Linked DNA regions of Notamacropus eugenii. The protein of the gene in region 1 purifies or fractionates together with the protein of each later gene. This does not show direct contact. Links are inferred from orthologs where the notes say so. Each region holds a gene or a part of one and is shown in the gene's direction. Other genes may lie near its edges.

Region 1 (10,678 bases):
ACAAGAAAAGTGTCTTTGAAGCCAAGGAAAAGACAGTATCCAGTAGGAGGGAAAGGATTAGCTTTGTCAAAAAAAAATTACAAGAATTTGGGGAAGGCAAGAAGGATGAAGACTGAATAAAGGTAATTGGATTTGGCAATTAGGAAATCACTGGCAACTTTAGAGATAGTAGGTTTTTAAAATATCTGATTTTTATTGTTGTCTTTTTTTTTTTTACAATAAATAACCAACAATCCATTTTACAATCACTTAATCATTTGTTATGTTCCAGACATCGTGTGAGGGATACAAAGACCAAATGAAGCAGACGCTACTTTTATGTTTACATTCTATTGAAGAAGAAGGCAGGCATATATAAAAATATATGCAAAAACTCACATGCAAAATGTTCACATATATATTTATTTATATCACATCCATTCCTGAATGTCTTTCCTTTCTTTAGAGAAAGGGGGAACCAACGGTTCAGCAAAATTATCTAGCACATCAGCTGACCCCAACATTATGTGCAATGTTCAACATGGATGACCTGCCACCTCTCCAGTGAAGGGAGGGAGGCACATTTCTTCAACTCTTGCCCAGGGTCAAGCTCCCAGGGTCATTGTGATTACAATGTTCAGTTTTCATTCTGTTGTTGCTTTTAGAAAACATAGTTTCAGTCTGTTGGAGAAGGCAAAAACCTGGTTCAGAATAGATTGGGTAGTGAGGTAATGGAATGATTCTTTTTCAATTGGAAAGATCAACTATAGACAGTTTTTTCCCAAGAAAAGTATTAGTTCAGGAGAATAAAGAAATAGGACAATAGCTATTGGGGTTTAGAAGAATCAAGGAAAGGCTTTGTTAATAATTGAGAAGATCTGACTATGTTAGGAAGTTCTTTCCTATATTGAGTTAGAATTTCTCTCTACCATCCACTGGTCTGAGTTTTGGCTTCTTAGACAAAACAGAATAGTTCTTGTATTTCTCCTATTTGACAACTCTTTAAACATTTAAGGATAAGATAATGTCATCCTTAAATCCTAGGATCACAGTCTTCTCTCTGTAGTCTAGATATTATAAATTTTTCCAAGTGGTTTTTATGTGGCATGGTCTCCAAATGTTTTCTTTTCCAACCACTAGTATTATTTAGATAGCATAATGCAGAAGTTAAAAAATTAATACTTCTTTCTCTTCAGTATACCGTATACATAGGTATCTTGAAATAAACAGTTTTTGAAGATAGTGAGTTCCCCCTCATTGGAGGTATGCTAACTAAGGCTGAATGACCCTTATCTTCCCCTCCTTGTAACAAACATGTATAGTCAAACAAAACAAAATCCTTTCTTTGCCATGTCCAAAAGAAAAAGAACATGTATATATGTAAGCATGCACACATATATGTATATTTGTCTCATTCTATACTCTGAATCTTTCACATCACTATGAAGTATGTGGGTAGCATGTTTCATCATTAGTGTTCTGGAATTTAGGTTAAACTTTGCAATGACTCAGTGAACTTCAGCTCCTTAGACCTCAGTTTCTTCCCCTGTAAAATGAGTGCATTGAACTAGATGATATCTAAGGTCTCTTTGAGCTCTGAATCTTTCATTCTGTGATCCCTGATTATGCTCTAATGGAATCTGTGATGTCAATGTGGGTACTCTCATCAAGGACCGCAAAGTGTTCATGATTGTCTATCCTAGTCTAGTTGTTAACAACCTTCAATAAATCCACCATAAAAGGTACTCCCAATATGCTGGTGGTATTCCTCACACTTTCTTTGAAATATTTTTTATTCCAAATTTGACAAATACCAACAAACATAAAAGTTTCTGATTATAAAGAAAAGTAGAAAAAATGTGCATATGAAATCTTCACCTTAATATCTATTATATACTGTTTTTTACAAGTGTATGTTAAGTTTAATAGAGAAGTATCAACACTGTCCTGTTTTCTGTGCCACCTTCTGCTCTTTGACTGTGTTTTAATGTTTAATTTACACTTTTCTTCATTTTTTGTCATTACTATCACTACTCCAACTCCCTCCCTAAGACTTTCCTCTTCCCAAAATAAATGCCTTCACTTTGTAACAAATAAGTATTGTCAAATAAAAAAACAAGCATTCTTCCCATCCCCTGCAAAAATAAACAAAATACATTAAAGACTGCTTCATGAATTTGTATGTCAACCTTGAACATGAGTCATACTAATTTCTTTATTATTCCAATTTTAGCATATGTGCTGCTGTAGTAGGCACTTTCTTGCAAGTTTGTGACATTGAAACATATGTGCTATCCTTCAGTTTTCCTTTGCTTTTGCTGTGTGACTGGCCCATCTTCTTTTTCCAGTGATAAATTTCTCTGATGACATTTGTTATACAGTTTCTACCGTGTAAGTCCTCCCTTGTAATGTATTGCCACTTATATTTCAGCCACAAACCATGCATCTTTCCTTTATTCTTTGGGAATCCTTAATTTCAGTTGTTTGGAGACCATAGTGTTTCATTACTCAAAGGCATGCAACATTACCGGGAAACTATTGATGTCAGAAAGATGGGCTTTTGTTTTGTGGAGAAGCTTGGGATCACTAAATGAACTGTGCAGTTTTCCACAGGCCTTCCAGCTCTCCTTCCTCCTCCTGTTCAGTTGTGGACCTAACTCATTGTTCATTGGTAGTATCTTTCCAGGATATATGTACTAATAGATGAGCTCTATGGTTTGCCTATCCAACTGTTTATCATCCTTGATATGTTTTATCATATGGCACTAGAACCTTTTATTTCATTTTAAAATAAAGGAAATGTATGCTTTTTTTTTTTTTTTTTACTATATTGCTTTTCACTTGTGTGTTCCCTGAAGTCTTCTTTCAAACAACTTTGTCATTTGTAAAGATAAGAATTAGCTTTATAGGGAGTAAATTTCTAAACTGTACAGATTAGTGAGAGAGTTACTATAGTAAAATAAAAAAAAAAAGAAAAAGTACTAGATTTGGACTCAATCTAGATCTGAATTTGAAACCCAGTTCCATTAAACTTTTCAGGGAAAGGAAAGGGAACAAGAAGATTAGAAACTGGTTCTAGTCTGGTTGACAGGTGTCTACCATATGCTAGACACTATGCTAAATGCTTTACAAAGATAATTTCTCTTGATCTTCATAAAAACCCTGTGAAGTAGATGGCATTATTATCCTTATATTATAGTTGAGAAAACTGAAACAGTCAAAGGTTAAGTGACTTGCCTAGGGTTATACATCTAGTAAATATCTGAGGCTGGATCTGAACTCAGATCTTCTTGATTTAAGACCCAGTACTCTACCAGTTAGCTGCCTTAGATGTCACTTAAGTTTTTTAAGCCTCAGGATACTTATCTGTAAAATGGGGATTATATTACCATTCTCACAGGGCTGTTGTAAGGAGAATACTTTGGAAACCATAAAATGCTATAAAATATGACCTGGTATCATTATTATTCATATTTTGGTAGTTCTCTGTGTCTCTTCTAGCCCCCAAATTCTGACTCTCTTAATTTATATAGCAATAAGACAAGTATCATGGTTAAGTATTTAATAAATGCTGTTTGATGATGATGAAGTTATATTTTTATTAAAGAAATTCAAGGCACTTTGCAAATATTGCATTATTAATACTGGGCCACAAGTGTTATCCTCCCTTAATTTATAGAAATGTACTCACATTTTGGTCACAAGAACAAACACATTTAAGTTTTACATCCAAAAGATACATTTAGGCTATATAGTATCCTTTAGAACATTACATGTTTTCATAAATGTTATGGCTAGTCAACCTTGAGGTAAGGATACATTTATAAAACTTCTCTGACAATGAAATAGCTGATGTACTTTTGAAAACTTCATTGTAGCCAATTATGAAGGCAACTTAGTAAACTGGATTTAGTGTCAAAGATGCTGGGCTTGAATACTAATTCTGCTACTTCACTACTTGTGTGATCTCAAGCAAGCCTTTCCCTGGGCCTTGGTTTCATTTTCTGTTTTTCTCTATCTAAGGACTCCTGGATCTTACCATCTGCCCTAAAACTGTACCCTTACATCTTCAGAGCCTTCCTGTCCACACTGTATTGTCTTTCCCTACTTAGAACTGAACGTGATGTCTTTGCCAAATATAGTATGAAATCCTTGAGAGAGTAAGGGCTATTAACTTTTTCTACTTCTATCTAAAGAGGTAAGCAAGGTGATTGTCACATGGTGGATACAGAACCTGGAGTCAGGAAGATACAGCTTCCTGAGTTCAAATCAGCCCTCAGACACTTAGTAATGGTGTGACCCATAGCAAGTCACTTAACCCCTGATTGGCCTCAGTGTCCTCATCTGTAATAAGAGCTGGAGAAGGGCATGGGAAACCACTCCAATATCTCTGCCAAGAAAACTCCAAATAGGGTCACAAATAGTCAGACATAACTGAAAAAAGAACACAATAAGCAACAAAATAAACAACTTAAAATGCTTTATTCATTCATCTGTATGAGATTGGAGTATAATGATCACTGTGAATTCCTGGAAAGCGGGAATTATCTTTTGCTTTTCTTTGCACCCCAATGCTCAGTATAGTACTTGCCACATAGTAGGCCTTGACTAATGTTGACTTCTAGTTCTAAATCTTGTGATTTGAATGAGCAGGATAATAACATTACCTTTTTATTTTCTTGATGCTTTTATTGCTTTGACTCTTTTAACTTTTCATTTATAGGTAGGGTACCTTCTGCTGGTCTTCAATAAATGTGCCAGGGCTGTATTTAATCTTTTTTTTTTTAAAAGACTACATTTAAGGATTTTAGCACATCTCTGAAAACTTTTGGTATAGTATTCTGTGATATTATTAAAGCATTCTTGTTAATTGATGCTGAAAGTTATTTAAAATAGGGATCTTTTGGGGCACAATTGGAAGGACATTTCAAACAGATAATCAGCCTTCTTTTTCTTTCTTTATTTTTTCCTAAACTAATACTTTCCACTAAAAATGAACATTTTGGGAAGATCACTCCTACACTGAGGATATATATATATAATATATATGGCATATATATTATATATATATATACACACACACATCAATAATCTCACAAGATATGATACTCTCATTCCTCACAAAAGAAATCAAGACTTCCATATTTACTCATGAGGAAACATGCTTGGTGAGGTTATATATTATTTGCGTTCATAGTTTTTAGAAGCTGAAACATTAGAGATCATCTCCTTGTCTAAATTCATACCATGACAAAGACAGGGTTAAACTGTGATAGGAATCAGATATGGAAGGGATCTTGGAGAGTTTAGGATCATAGATTCAGAGAATGGGTCATAAAAGCCACCTAGTCCAAGATCCTCATTGTACAGGTGAAGATATGATGGCCCAGAGGAGCACAGTGACTTTTCCAAGGTCACCCAGGCCAAGAGAAGAATCTAGATTCGAATGTAGATTGCCATCAGATTCCGGAACCCAGTGCTCTTTCAACCACAGTAACAACATTCGGTCTTTTCAGTATTTCAAGTTAAGCCTTTGAGAAGAGTTAGAAAAGAAAGTTGTTTCACACCTGAGTGACTTGGCTTGGCCTTGAAAGGGCTATCAAAGTTGTGCCAATATTATACCAAGGGGGTACGTTTGTGTCGAGTTCTCTAAATGTAACACCGCTTTTTAAATTTAGATACCTGTGAAAAGGAGCAGGAGAAGCTGGTCCTGGGTCCTAGGGATAAGGGATCAAAACCGATCCGAAGAGAACGGTGGAAGGAGGGACCAACTTGGGGACTAAGGGACGAAAAGATGGAGGAAAAGGGGAAAAGGGGCTTGAGTGGAAAGAAAAGAGGTCGTCTGAACCGGAGCCAGGTCGGGAGGAGACAAGATGGTGTTGGACCAAGTCAAGACTCCTCTGGTGAGCGAGAAGAGGGAAGAAATGCGGGAGCGACCTTCACCGGGAGTTTGGAGGGATGGGGGGATCGCGAGGGCAGGAGCCCGACCCAAGGTGAGTGAGTCCTAGGATGGGGGCTGGGCGGGGGCAGCGACGGGAAGGGAGGGGCGACGGATCGAGGGAGGACCGCGGGGCTGAGCCATTGGAGGAGGAGGCCAGAGCCGGGAGAGGGGCGGGGCTGGTCCCGCAGAGCTCGAGGTGGGGGCTGGGGTTGGGGGAGGACGCTTCTGTGCCAGCTTAGGTTGAGGCGCTCCGAAGCTAGGGTGAGGGAATAGAGAGGGAGGGTGTCAGGAGCTGGCAAGACCTACGCCCGCGGCTGGGGCCCCCAGGCCGGGACGGGGGCGGAGCCTGGGGCGGGGCCGGGCCCTGGGGGCGGGTCCTGCGCTGGGCCCCCGCGGGGAGCGGCGGCCGGTGGCGCAGGCGCGGTTCCCGCCTCCTCCTGGACTGGCGGAGCGAGTGGAGGAGGCTGCAGCCCCCGGCTCCGGCTCCGGCTCCGGCTTCGGCTCCGGCTCCCCGTCACCGCCCCTTCCCTGAGCGGGATGAGCTCCCGGAAAGGTGTGTGCGCCCTCTCAGCTCTCTGCCCTTCCCGCCGCCCCGTCCCTCGGAGGCCACAACGTCCCCAACCGTTAATGTGTGTCTCTCTCTCTTCCCTTCCCCCCCACCCCCCACAGTGCTGGCCATTCAGGCCCGAAAGCGGAGGCCGAAGAGAGAGAAACATCTGAAAAAGTGAGTCCGGACTCCCCGACGTCGTCCCGCCTCCACCCCCTTGGTCCCTCCAGACTGGGGAGGCTCGGGGGGCGCCGGGTTCCCGCGGAGGAAAGTTGCCCGGACCCCCCTGGGGGCGGGGCAGGGGGCGGGGCGGGACGCGTCGGGCGCCCCCCCTCGGGATGCTCTCTTCTTCCTCCTTCCCCCCCGCCCCGGCTGCGCCCCGGCTGCGCCCCTCTCGCGGGACGCTCCCCCCTCCCACCGGACGCTCCCCCCTTCCCCCGCAGCACTCCCTCCCCTGGGGCCCCGGGGAAGGCGGACGAGGCGAGGGCTCCCGGCAGCTGCCGGTCGCTGTCCCGGGGCTGGGGGGAGGGGTGGGTGCGTGCCTCCCGCGGCCGCCGCCGCCGCCGCCGCCGCCGCCGCCTTTGGCTCAGACCGGAGCTCTGCATCCTAGCCCAGACCTCTGCCTCCTTGGGTGGGGGAGGGAGAGCGGCCGTCGGGGTGTTGGGATGAATGGCTCAGGCCAGCGCGTGCCCTTTCTTTTGCTTTTAACTCTCCTTCCTCATTTTGTATTTTGTCTTAGTGAGCCTCGAACGCTTTTTTCCTCTCGGTGAGGAGGTCTAAGTTTGTAGTTGCAGGTGTAGAAGATGTACTGGAATTCATTCATTCATTCACCAATCAACCACTCTTCCTTTTCCCCGGTCTTCGCCTCTCACCCGGGGAATTATTTATTGGAGGAGAGGGACATCCCGGTTTCTCACTTTTTTCTCCTCTTCTTCAGCTATCCTTCGTATTCGCTCCCACGCCCCGAGTAGATAGTATTGGTATTTATACTACTGCGTCGAAAATCGGCGTTTGTTCTGCGAAAAGTGTATTGATTTGCTTTGGATAAATCTGCTCCGTGTTGGTGTGAGTTGAGTTTTCACAGTTTCTGTATTTTGGAGTTCTTCATTTTTTCCCCGAAACTTTATTGTAGGGTCATGAACTTCCAGTGTGTTAGCTGCTGGATATTTTTCTCGGTTGGCTTTTGCTTTGAAGAAGCCATCCAGTAGGTGGGCGTATGATTTATGGTGAAAGAGATTGGCATTTGATTAAGCTCCAGCCATTCATTGCCTTAGAAAGTATGATGACTGGTGTTATCATGTTTAAAACGTGCATTCCACCAAGCTGCCACCCCCACTACATCTAAATTTAATATAAACGTATAAATGGACCAGAATTAAACCAGTGGCTAGGGATTTATAATTGGTAGTGTAGCAGAATGGTTCAGCTATGTTTTCTGCCCTGGAATGTATCTTTTGAAGCACTGGAGTCAGCGAAGATTTTTCATTGACCAATATTCAACATTTTTTCTTTTTATATGCTTAAGAATTCCTTTTAAGCAAAAATATTTTCATGAATGTGGTTGGGTGGCAATATAGGGGTGTCATCGTGGTAAATGTTTTAAGAATTTAAAATTTAAATGAAATTATAAAATGTCTAGTTTAAGTTAGGACTTTCTTTGGGAGGCTCCCTATAACTCATCCAAGGTTTTTCTTTATCATTCTTCTTTTAGAAGAATCTAATGTTAGTGACATCTGTGAAAGCTCATTAAATCATTATTAATGGATGAGGTGGTATAATATAACTGAAAATTATTCATTCACAAATGAATCCTGAGTTCAGCAAGTATACCAAGAATTACACACATTATACATGAAGTGGTGGGATGTTTTTTAAAAAGTGAGGAAACTAGACAAAAAATATTCTGAAATTTGAGACAGTAAATGTAAAAATTATCCTTTGGCTTTGAACTTAGTGTGGATTAGAACTGAATGGATCTATTTTATGTAACTTGTTTCTGTAATTAGCAACACAAGGTAGATTTTGGAAAATTTGCTTTACCTTCTTGGGTCTCAGATTTCTCATCTGTAAAATGAAGAGTTGAACTGGTTAATCTCTAAGGTCTCTTGTTATTCTAAATCTTATTATTTATGTTGAAAAAAGTAATTTGGGATTGGAAAAAAGACTAATTGGAGGGTATGTCATAAATATTTTAAAATCCTCATTAGATTATGTTAGATGCATATTCTAATCTCATGAGTGGAAATGTATGGGTTTTAGTAATCCATGTCTAGAGCTGAGATACTTAACCTAGGGTCTGTGAATTCAAAAAATATATATATTTTGATAACTGTTTCAATATAATTTATCACTTTTGTAATCCTATGTATTTTATTTCATGCATTTAAAATGCATATGAGAAGGAGTATTCTGCCAAAAGTATTCACGACATAAAAAATGGTTAAGAATCTCTGTTACAGAACTATTTCCTTTTTTGTTATTGTTGCAGGTGTCTTGCATAGTTTCCATCTGTTGTGCTTAGGAAATAATAGGTATTTGACAAAAATATATCCCCTTTCTATTACTTCATGTCCTTATCTCTTCCATAGTGCACAAACTATGTAAGAATTATATAGAAAAAGTCAATTCCTTTGACAGTAGATTAGTACGTTTATGACAGATGAGACCTGCCATGTATGGAGAGCTTGATTCTGGGCTTCTAGTAGAATACTAAACTCCTTGAGGGCAAGTACTAATTTTTAAAAGTGTGTTTGAATTGAACTAAAATTATTTTTAAAAAACCTGATCATTAAAAAGTCTTGTAATAGCTAGGCAATGAAGTTAATAAATTTATTTGGTCAGAAAAGATAATTTCTTGCTGTTTGTTTCCCAATTCAAAGTATATATTTAAAAAAATAAACTTAGTTTTCATAAATACTGAAACTAAGTTATTTGGCATACTTGGGCAGGCCCCTTTTTGAGAAGAGCCAATTTTTGTATGTGGATAGTAATACAAACTGTTTCATATTTAGGCAGCAGAGCAGAGTGGAGATAGCCTTGGCTTTGGTGGCAGTTATCTGCTGACCAACAGGTCATTCTCCCTTTTTTCTTAAAGCTTACACATCCACATCAACTGTGTTTTGGACTTGGGGACATCAGCATCCATACTGGCGTTTCTTCCTCAAACACCTTGGCCTGCCTAACAGTAAATCTCAGCTTGCATGGCATACAGTTGACTCCATCTTAGCCACATACAAAGATAAAAGGATGGTCATATCCTTGATTTTATCTCCCATGAATGTTGCACTTGCATGATCAAGAGCTCTGAAATTTTTCACTTTGACCATAATTTCCCATCCTTTCATATTCCCTTTGCTTCATCCTTAAATTAAGATGACTTTATTCTCAGTATTGCTTCATGAGCCTAGCACAGTGCCTTAATGCATGCTTGTGTGTTCGTCCTTTGTTGCTGAAGAAGACTATGCCATCAGAGAAATAATGACATGACTTGCACTTGACTTTGTTTTGAGTGAGGGAGGGCTGAGCAGGTCACCAGCCTCACTTCTCCTCCAGAGCCATCTGAATCCAGTGACCAGATATTCATCAGGATGACTGGAGATGACCCAGGATGAGGCAATTGGGGTTAAGTGACTTGCCCAAGGTCACCCAACTAGTGAATGTCAAGTGTCTGAGGTGAGATTTGAACTCAGGTCCTCCTGACTCTTGCACTGGTGCTGTATCCACTGCACCACCTAGCTGCCTCGATTCAATTCATTATTGAATGAATTAATAAATTTTATTTACTATGAACTAGGACAGGTCACTTAACCTTGTATAACCTCAGTTTCTTTACTTGTAAAATGGAGACAATACCCTTTGTTTTGTTTGTCTCACAGGATTGTTGTGAGGATCAGTAGCATGATATAATCAAGACATTTTCTAAAAGTAAATATATATATATGTCTGAGCAGTTATTTATACAGATCATAAATGCTGTTACTTTTGAAATCAGAAATTATGTTAATAATAATAGAATTTTAGAGCTGGACAGAAACTTTGAGATCATGTAGACTCTAGCTTATCTCTCTCTCTCTTTTTTTTTTTTTTACACAAACAAGGAACCTAAGGGCCAGAGAGGTTCAGTAGCTTGCTTAGTGTCAGAACTGGTACTAAAACTTGGATTAACTGAGCTTGCAGTCCCTAGCTCTTTGGTTTGTGAACAGAAAATGCCC
Region 2 (10,689 bases), on another chromosome or scaffold:
ATATTGAAAAATGACAGAAACTAACACTATTGAGCACTTTTTGTTGTTTCAATTTAAATCTTTAAAAACAAAACAAAACACTCCTAGGTAGTTACCAGTTGAAGTCCAGAAAATCAATTCAGGACCTGAGGTTAAATTTTAAAAATCTATTCAATAGCACATTTTAAAGAAATTCTTTTGTATAAATAAAGGTCTGTTAGTTTATCTCTGACGTGGAATTTAACCCGGAAATTCTATGATTAAATGCTCTCTTCCATAAAGCCAATCTTACAGAAGCAAACTGGAATTTTTCCAACTTTACCAGCAGCAAGAGGAGCCTCTGGTCCCACAACTACAAGTTCAATTTTCTGATCTTTGCAGAACTGAGTGAGGGCGGTATGATCATTGACTGATACAGCTGTAAAGATAAAACAACAACAAATTTCACATCTAATTGTAAGGCTGTCTATCATCTACTTAGGTATAATTGCCAACTTCTAATTTTTTGGGGGATAGGTACTATGTAACTGAGTTTAATTGAGAAATTTTTTAATGAATCATGCCAGAGAACTAGTTCATTTTCAGTTGCTATGTGTACGTCCTAATAATCTGACCAAAGCTCTGTAAATTCCTTTATGAACTACTATATAATGAGGTTAGTTTCTCTTTCACAAATATAAGAATTTTAGTGTTTGTACTGTAAACAGTATTTCATAGCCAAGTCCAAATACTACCATTGTTAAATTTTAACAATCTCTTAAATGTTGGAAAAATAGTCATAGTAGAAAGATATAATAGCCAGTTTCTAGGATACTGTTTTTTGAAGCTGCTGAGCATTGCATTTATGTACAATATCCCTGTGCACAAATATATTATTTTCAAATATATATTTGCTTTAAAAATGTTTTTTGCAAACAGAACTTCCATTAACCAACATGTATCCTTTACGTATATCAACAGGATTCTATTTTAAATACCTTTGCTATTTTAAGTTCGTTCAAAAGACAATCTCCTTTTACATGCTGAACATTCACAATCCACTTCAAAACATAAGCCCAGAATAATGCTTCCTACCCATATTCCCAAGAGACAATTTCCATAAAGCACTTTGCAAACCATAGCTCTATGTTAACTATTAATATTACTGCTAATTCGACTAATTCAAACTATGTAAGATATGTAGAATGGTTTGACAAAACTTTTGGTTGTTATAGAATGCTATCAGACTATTCCATTCTGATAACAGAGAGTGATGAGATTGGAAGGGGGAAGACTTGGATTCAGATTGTACCTCAGACACTAATTGTGTCTCTGGCAAGTTACTTTCAGCCTTAATTTCCTCATGTGCAAAATGGGGAAATTAGAAGCATCTACCTCACAAGGTTACTGTAAAAACCAAATGAGATAATGTATATAAAGTTCTATACAAACCTTAAGGAACCATGTAATTATCCATATCATTATGAAGCACTTTTAATAAGATGTTGGCATAAAGTAATTCTGTAAGATAGAACTATAACCAGAACAGCACATCTTACACTTCTGGCAAATTGATTCACACTTTCCAATTATGGAGAGGGGAGAGAGGATTTTTTTTCCCCTAATAACCAAAACAAATAAAACAAAAAAAAAAAATCAGATGCTACTGATACTCAACATAAAATAACTAGACTGGTTACTTAACATTTAGTTTGCTTATCTGTAAATTGATAGAGTTGAGTTAGATGATCACTAAGGTCCTTTTTAGATCATACATTCTATAAATCAAAATGCCTTTACCTGAATTTGATATTTTCCCATTGTTGGCTGTTCCTGCATTTCCTGGGGCAACTATCACCTGGCTGACATGCTGAGACTGAGCAAGTTTCCAAGCCAGTGTGTGTTCCCTTCCCCCATTGCCAATTATAAGCACTCGGACTGCCATTAATTTGTCTGCAGAGTAGGGATTTAAAAAAAAAAAAAAGAAAAGAAATTGATAAACAGTGCCAGGAGAATCAAGTTCAGTTAAAATTTTAAAAAACAACTCAAATCCATTCATTTTCTCATTCCTTATTGTTTTCCTTACGTTTTGGGCAATACTTGAGACCTTTTCTTTGGCTTCTGGCTTTTTTTTTTTTAAAGTAGCAGTAGCTTAATTATTCTGCTTTTCTGACCCTTCCTTTTAAATGGTAGCACTCCCTGAGCTTGTATCATTTGGCTCTTTATTTTTCGTTTTCACTCCCTCTCCATTCATCTACTCCATACGATCATCTCTACACAACTTATTCCCCAGTCAGCCCTTCCAGTCTCAATCTTGCTTCCATAATGGTTCAATACTTAAGCCACTACTGTGTGAAAGGTATTGTGTTAGGTTCTGTTAAGAATTTCAGGTCCTGCCCTCAAGGGAAATATAGTAGGGCAAGGAGACATGAGGACAAATATGATCAGAATGAGAAAAACACACAGGAAAGGTCAGAGAATGCTATTTTCTCTGGCTGGAAGTAATCCGGGCAGACCTCGAGAAATAAGTAGTATATGAATTAGGCCTTGAAGGCAAGGATTTCCACAAACTGAGAGGTAGGACTGGAAGCTGACTGGAGGAGGACACTGAATAGGATGGCAAGAATATAGTATTTTATCCTGCAGGCAATGGGGAATGACTGAGATTTTCTGAGCAGTGGAGTGCGACCTGGTTAGACTTGTACACCAGGATAATCACTGCCACAGCATTATGAAGGGTTGGTTTAAAATAACAGGTTAAGAAATTTTTTGGTGTCATATATGGTAACAAGAATTTAAAGGTTAGGATGCAGTAGAGTGGATAGGAAGAAAAGATGCAATCAGGAGGTTATTTTTGGAGACAGTATAGACAGGACTTTGCAACTAATTGGAAAAGAGCAAAATAGGACAGTGGAGTTTTTCGATAACTAAGAGAATTTCAGATAATGAATGGCACAAACAAGGTTAGCTAGGAGGGGCAATTTTGGGGGGGATTTGTGTGAAGGAGGAATGAGCTCAGTTTTAGATATGTTGAGTTTGAGGTGCCGATCAGGTATCCATGTAGATCTGCCTCACATGCATTTGGAAATGTGAGACTGGTCATATTTCTAATCGCCTGCTGGACAGGTTCCCTTAGGCGGCTTCTGGAAACTTGTCACTTTTGATCATCAAGTTCAAAATCAAACTAGCTTTCCTCTCTTCTTCTTTGAAGACAGGGATATTTCATTTTTTTCTTTGTATTCTCAGTGACACATAGCACACACTATTAAAACACTGAATGAAACTGAATAAAATATGACAATCAAGTATCTGAAGGCCTATTATTACATAGAACTGTGCTAAGTACTTTACAAAGGCAGGGACTGCTATTATATACCCATTTTACAGATGAGGAAACTGAGGTCCAGTTTAAATGATTTCCCCTAGGTTGTACAGCTGGCTAGTGTCCAGTTATATCTGAACTCAGGTTTTCCTGACTCCAGGCATAGTGCTCCACCCACTTTGCCACCTATCTCTAGCTGTCTCAGGGGAAGGAGGGAATATAAAATGTTCATAGAAAAATGGAGCATGTATAAAAAAGTCATACAAAATCACTTCAGGATGAGGGGAATCCAACAATTTGGAAAATCAGAAAAGACTTCTAGAAGGCTGTAGTACACAAAGTAGAGGTAAAGAGGGAGGATACACCAGATATGAGGTAGAGCCTGTGCTAAGACATGAGGACAGGAAGGAAAGAGAAGACAGAATACGTGTATGCAGGAAACAACAGAGGCTGATGTGACTGAAGCGTATGAAGAGTAATAATATTTAATTGGGCTGGAAAGATAAACTGGGGTCAGTTTATGAAGGGCTTTGAGGGTCAAACGGAGAAATTTGTATTTTATCTTACAGGCAAAAGATGATTCCTTTCCGGGGACTAAGAATAGTGTTTACATTTTAAAATAAAAGTCTGAATGTATTTAAGAAGTTAAAAACCATCCTTAGCTCAGGGGCTGGCAGGATTTGGCTATCTAGGCCCCAGTAAAGATTCTAGGGCAGAGGAATGACAAGGCAAACCTAGGCTTTAGGAAGATCAATCTGCCAGAGGACAGAGTAGAAATTGGGAATGTTGGATGTAAAGAGACCCATCAGGAGACTACCTGCAACGGTCTAAGCAACTTCTGGTAAGGACCTGAAGTAGTGTAGCTGAGGCAGGAATGAAGAGGTGCTAGGGTAGAGCTGATAGGACTTGGCAACTACCTGGTACCCAGGGCCAGGCAGACAAGAACTCTGGAAGTCAGGGGTCAGGAAGACCTGAGCTCAAATTCAACCTCTGACACTTAGGACCTTGGGCAGAACTTTTCTGGACATCTAAACCTAGGTAACTCTCAGTTCTCTCATCCTTAAAACAAGTATATCTATTTCTTTTCTTAGACAGGATACAGCATTGTTCAGCTTATATGAGGATGACTTGCGGTCCATTGAATAAGTAAACAGTACAAAGCAGAAATAAAAGCTACTTTCAAAATTCCCAATTTTGTAGGAAGAAAAGCACCTACTGAAAACATTTTGGACCACATGGAAAAACCAAACTGAATGAAGGAACTCTTCAATTCTTAAATTTTTGAAAAACTGAAGAAAAAATCATTTGCTTGGATGGAAAAATGTAGCTTATCAGAAACTGGAAACCATGAGCAGGAACTTAATTAAAACCACGTTAAAAAGCAAGTGGTAAGATTAGGAAAACAAGCCTGGAAAACAAGAGCACGTGGCCAAGCCCACGGGTGAAAAAGGCCAATTCTTCCAACGCCAAGTTCATTTCAAGAAAAGCACCGCTCACAGTTAAAGTGTGGGGGAAAGCACAGGGTAAACCCTGAAGGATGAAAAAACTAAGGAAATCCTATTTGAAATACATATCAAGGAAAAAAGGAGACCAGCTACGGGAAAAGCACTCGGACCCGTCTCCTAAAATAATTAAATTTAAGTTAAATAAACGACAGGAATTCTGCCGTAAGCAGGCTGCAGAAAGATGCTCCACCAGTGACAGCGGGAGGACACGCACGTGGCCAGGCCGCGGAAGGAGAAGGCAGCCGTCCCACCCGGGATGAATGACAAAGCCTGGGCTCTCCCTCTCCTCCCGCCGACAAGCCGCGAGCGCTCTGCACACGTGGACGCCCAAAGGCTCCTCGGCCCCGCGTGCGTCCGTCCGTCCGTCCGGGAGGGAAGGACACTCCCGCGTTCCACAAGCCTTCCCACCTTTGGCGCTTATTTACGTTCCTAAATTCGTACCCGGGCACCTCAGCGGCGACACCCCCAGCCACCCAACCACCTCCCCCCAGGCCCGCGGGCCCTGGGCGGCGGCCTGCTCCTCGACCGCCCGGGAGCGTGATGCCCCTCCTGGGCCCCGTGGGTTCGACCCGGACCCGGGGAACCGTGTTCACACATGTCACGTAACGACAGCTTTGTCACGACCCCCCCCTCCCCCCCACTCTGGTACCTCTGAGGCCGCCGGGCACCCGTGAATAGTTTAAGGAGGACTAAGGGCTCTCACGGCGGGGGGCCGGCGGGCTGTTTCGCGAGAGGAGCGCGGAACACCGCCTGCACGCTGGGGCTCGTAGGCTCCCGGAGCAGCCACAGGGACCACGCAGCCCGGGGCTCAGAAACCGAGGCGGATTCAGACGGGAGGGGCGGGGGAGGGGCCGGGGGCGGAGGGAAGCAAAGGCTGTATTTTCCAGGGTCACAGGACTCTGCACAAGCATTGGGAGGAAGGCGACGAAGAGGCGGGTCCTCCCCGAGACGGCAATAAAGCCGGACCTGGCGCCCCCCTCAGGCGTGCGCGGGCTCCGCGGGAACACTGACTAGTTCTCACCTCGCCGCCAGTCTCCCATCTGGATAGTTATGCCCTTAAATCAACCCAAATCACAAAAGTACAAGCCCACCTCCCACCCCGAACGCGAACGACTAAGCCCCTCACGTTGGCGGGATTCACCCGCAGACACTGGCCCTGTAATGGCGCCTGCGTCAGGCACTAACATGGCCGCCGCAGCCCCGAGCTTGGAGCTTACGTCAACGGCTCCGCCCTCGTCTCGCAAGAACGGACCGAGAAAACGAATGCGTGTTCGCTGATTGGTTCAGTGGCAGAGCGTGCCTTCCCCGGAGCGCCAGCGGGAGCCAATGAGGGAAGAGAGATAAGGAACCGGCCGTAGCGCCTACTCCCGACGCATGCTGGGAGCCTGGAGGTCTTGGGAGGAGGAGTTGAGAGAACGGAGCGGCCGCCATGGCGACAAACATCGAGCAGATCTTCAGGTCCTTCGTGGTCAGTAAATTCCGGGAAATTCAGCAAGAGCTTTCCAGGTAACGTGTTCCCAGGCGCATCTGCCTTTAGCAGACCGCTGGTACCGATACAGTGTTCCACCGCGGTATCCCCGAAGCCGCCATCGTCCTTTGGCCTAGGCCCTGCAGGAGCCTCGCCCGGGCCTGGGATCTATTTCCTGGCCCCCGCCCCCTCCCCCACCGCCTACCTTCCTTCCTCTCTCCCCTCGCGCGCGAGGGCTTTCGTCTCTCGCTCCGTGGCGCTCTCCTCCCCCCGCCCCCCCCAACCCCCAGCCTACGGGCTGCTTTCGTAGACTTCCCTTTCTCTTCCGAGTAACCAACCTCCCTTCCGTCTTCCAGGCCCCGTTGTCCACCTTGGGGTGGGCCTAGGTTCCTCCTCCGATCCTCCTCTTCTTCCTCCTCCTCCTCCTCGTTTCCCCTCCCCCGCCCCCTCCCCCCTCACCGCCTTCATCTCCGGAGATTTCACCATTCTGTCCCCAGCCTCGGAAAGGGTGTATAACGGCGTTTTTATAGTATAATCCTAAAATTTCGTTCTTGCTAATTTTAGATTATTCTAGTTTGTGGATTATCGAGGCTTTTGGTTTTCTCTTTGCTCTTTCCACCTGTTTTTAAAAGAGTTGGAAGCAGTTAAAATTTGTTCAGTTTGTTGTTGGTTTGAAGGGGGAGATGGTTGAAATTGTGAGCGCGCGCGCGCGCGTGTGTGTGTGCCTGTGTCTGTGTTTGGAGGTTGGGAGTACAGGGGGAATCTTTTGAATTTCAGTTTTTTTCCTTTCCTGGCTTCAAATAACAAGGAAAGTTGACTTGATTAACGAACCGCTATTGTTCTTTATGCTCCCATTTTCCCCACCAAAAATGTGGGGAAAGGAAATCTGCAAAAAAAAAAAATAAAAATCTGTTTAGAGAGAAAGGAAAATAGCGAGGAGGTACTGGTTTTGCTTGGTTTTCCGTTAGTGTTTGTGCCTTGTCCACCTTATTTGGTCCTTTTTAGTAAGAAGATAGGAACAAGAATCCCTGAAGCTTAAAATATGGGTTACACTTTCTCTTATACTTTCTCCCCGTGGCTATTCACTGTCTTTAAACTCCAGCATCTTGATCCTGTCTGTTTGTTGGTCACAATGTAGTGTGAACTGAATCTCCAAGAGTAAGTTAAATAGCCAAATTAAGTTCTTAATTCTCATTTACTGAACGGTAGGCTGGATTGTGTTGGGGGGCTGGAAAGGGGTGGTGATGCCAAGGTATTGGTCATATGAGTGAACAGAATTTTCAGATGAGGTTTATTCCTGGGACTTTTATTGCATAAGTTTTTAATTTGTGTAGTGTAGTTCTATTTCGTTTGATTACAGTCCATTTTGTCGATTATGCATAGCAAATTTCTGGACCACTCAACATTTTCAGCGTTAAAGATGTGCTTAGAGGAAATCTAAGCCAATTTTAATATCAGTCCAAGCAAAGCATAAATATGAACATTAGTTATCCTCTTTCATACCTCTTGCTCTCTTACAATGTTTTTTGTCTCTCCTTGTCTTAATGTAATTCTGAACCAAATATGAATAGATTTTGGATTGTGTGCTACTAACTTCATTGTTTAATTGGCCAAAATTAGTTGTATTAGTAGTTTCATTGTGCTTCCTTGGTTATATTTCCCATTGTAATTGAATTTTTTTTGAGATTTACTTTTTTTGGGCATATGGTAATTTGATCTGACAGATCAGACCTACTTAATTTGTTTGAAAGGAACACAATCAGAATTGTAGTAAATATTTAAAATGCTTTAAAATGTGAATTGGAAGAACTTAAACATAGGTTCATTCTTTAGTCTTTTACAGACAAATGAACACAACCATAACTAGCTTAATGAGTTGTTCAGATTTAAACAGGTGAAGATTGCAGATAATATTTTAATTGTATTCTGAAAGTGAGAACTCCAGTGCTTTTTTTATGTGTACAGTGGTATTGGTTAAAGCATAATGAATTCTCATTAGTTAATTGGTTTATTTTAAATATCCTGAGCCGTTTTTGTATATAAGAGATTTCCCTAAACGTTTTTCTATACATTTATGGAAGTTTTATGTAATTTAAAGACAGCATGTGATTTATTTTTACCTTGTATGTATTTGAGTGTCTTTCTTATGCTGATGGTCAGTAATGGTAAGCAGATTGGCTAAAAATACTATTTTTTTCTTCATTATGCCCATATTCTCCTAGTGTATATTAGGCCATGCATGTGTTGTTTTTTTTTTTTGTATTTTCATGAGTTTTTTTTCTTTTTGCCAAGTATAAGTAACCAAAAGCCTCAACTTAGATTTCTGAGCGTATTGAAACAGATGAGCTTAGAAAACTTTTATTTTGGAAGTTTTTACTTGATTTGCAGAGTTGTAAAATGGTGGTAATGTGATACTATAAAATTAGAATATAAATTAGTTGGAAGTAGATTAGAAGTTAATAAAATTTGAGAAAGAGTTATTATGGTTTAAGAATATGTTTACAAAAACTATAAGAGATGGCAGTGTATCTTACATATTCAGACGTGATAATAAAGTCACTAAAATTAAGCAAATTGTTCATATGCTGTTATTTTGTGCTGATTTATTGTATATTGATATCCATGATGTTAATGAATTTTGCTGTTTTATTTTTAAATCAGTGGCAGGGTTGAAGGCCAGCTGAATGGTGAAACAAACCCACCTGTTGAAGGAAACCAGTCAGGTGATGCAGCTGCCTGTGCAAGGAGCCTACCAAATGAAGAAATAGTGCAGAAGATAGAAGAAGTGCTGTCTGGGGTCCTAGACACAGAATTACGATATAAACCAGGTAAAGTAAAAGGGATTATTTGTGTTGAGGATTATCCTTCCCTAGAAATCTCAAGGGAAGCTTCAAAGGTCTTTAGAAAGCAGTATCTTTGAGCATATTTCACAATACAGGAAACTTTTGCTATAGCCTGATTTCTTAGATTAATTGAATTTTCTGAATAATTACAGATAGATCTATTTTTAAAAGTCTTCAGACTTTACAGAAAAATCTAAAAAGGTGGTATGTTTTCATTTATACCTATTGAAGCTGAACTTTTTCTTATTTGAGGTCTTGTAGTATCATAGTGTCATGATTCTGAATTTCATACTAGTGTACGTTGATGACACCAGTTAATACTAGGATGCTAGAATTTATAGCTAGAATCCTATAGTCAAATTCTCTCATTTTAGAGATAAAAAATCTGTGGTACAGGTAGGTTGAAATAATTTGAACATTATCATCTTAACTGTGTTCTGACCGGGGGAGGCAAAGAGAAGAGAAAAGATGAAAGGTAGGTTATTTCCATTTTGTGTTACTAAAAATGTAATATAACAGATAATACTAGTTGCTTCTTATTCAGAGGTAGTCAGGGAAGCATAAAATCAACCTCACTACTGAACACCTATCTTGTATCAATCTGATGACTGACCCATACTGAATTATGTTTAGAATGTATATTAATTAAAACATTTAAATCATGAATCTTTTTAAGAATCTAAGCCATTTTGAAAAATTATCTTTTTAAGGATAAAGTAACAGATAATAAGGATTTGGGATAGAGATAATAACGTACATGAATTAAAGTAAAATAATTGTACATCTAAATTATTCAAATCTTAATTGTACTTGAAATTAAAAAAAATTATGAATATGGCTTAGCACAGTCTGACTTCTGTTACAGTTCTTTCTCTGCGTTCTTTTCTAACCTGTACATTTTGATAAGAGCTTGCAGGTGTCTGTGTCAGTGTAAATTAGTATAACCCATTTGCTTATAAATAAAATAAAATTACTTACTCTTCGCACTTAGTTGAGTGAGAATTTTATTGAACTCAACGTTAAAGATTACGAAGGTTTCTCCCTCTGAATGCCATTTTTGGGATATTTTCCTTTGAAAAATTACTTGTAAATTTTAGAATGTTTATTTTAACACTTGAGGAACTGGAATATAAGAATACCTCAAAAAAAATACCTGTGTCATTTGATTCAGTGTTTTTTGTGTTTTTAATCCATAAGGCAAAAGAAATAGAGATTTTAGGATGAACGTAATTTTATTTTAATTTTGTGTTATTTGGTGTTCTTGGTCTTTTTGGTATTGAAGAGTATAGTTTTATTAAGGTCTTAGTTCATGTGGGATGTTGAATACTTTACTTTTCTTGGTATTAATTTTTGAATCATCTCAGGCTTTATTGTTGATGATCTGACTTCGTATATATATGTATACATAGACATAACAGACAAGTAATTTCTGTGCATTGTTAAGAGGAAATAAAGCTAACACTACATGGATAATCTTTTTCTTAGTATTAATATTTTCTCTTTATATCTTTTAAAGGGTAAGTAGGGAAAAAGGTGCATTAATATATAGCTGATAACATTAAAGTGATCAGCGTGAATGGACATTTATTTTGT

What was found.
Region 2: the proteins of SRPK2 (region 1) and SON purify together in Homo sapiens (affinity purification with mass spectrometry; 4 studies listed by BioGRID and IntAct, with this or other methods). This does not show direct contact. The link is inferred for Notamacropus eugenii from reciprocal best matches to the Homo sapiens genes SRPK2 and SON.

The regions. Positions count from the first base shown.
Region 1 is NC_092874.1:150,432,805-150,443,482, forward strand, and holds the start of SRPK2 (SRSF protein kinase 2), read left to right. Parts: upstream 1-5,489; 5' UTR 5,490-5,773; coding exon 5,774-5,882; intron 5,883-6,244; exon of another isoform or gene 6,245-6,457; coding exon of another isoform or gene 6,458-6,473; intron 6,474-6,589; coding exon 6,590-6,644; intron 6,645-10,678. UniProt on the Homo sapiens protein: Serine/arginine-rich protein-specific kinase which specifically phosphorylates its substrates at serine residues located in regions rich in arginine/serine dipeptides, known as RS domains and is involved in the phosphorylation of SR splicing factors and the regulation of splicing.
Region 2 is NC_092876.1:425,725,467-425,736,155, reverse strand, and holds the start of SON (protein SON), read left to right. Parts: upstream 1-6,154; 5' UTR 6,155-6,214; coding exon 6,215-6,291; intron 6,292-6,591; exon of another isoform or gene 6,592-6,613; intron 6,614-8,914; coding exon 8,915-9,081; intron 9,082-10,689. Other genes in the region: GART (trifunctional purine biosynthetic protein adenosine-3), read right to left, coding at 302-397, 1,759-1,911, 5,807-5,825. UniProt on the Homo sapiens protein: RNA-binding protein that acts as a mRNA splicing cofactor by promoting efficient splicing of transcripts that possess weak splice sites.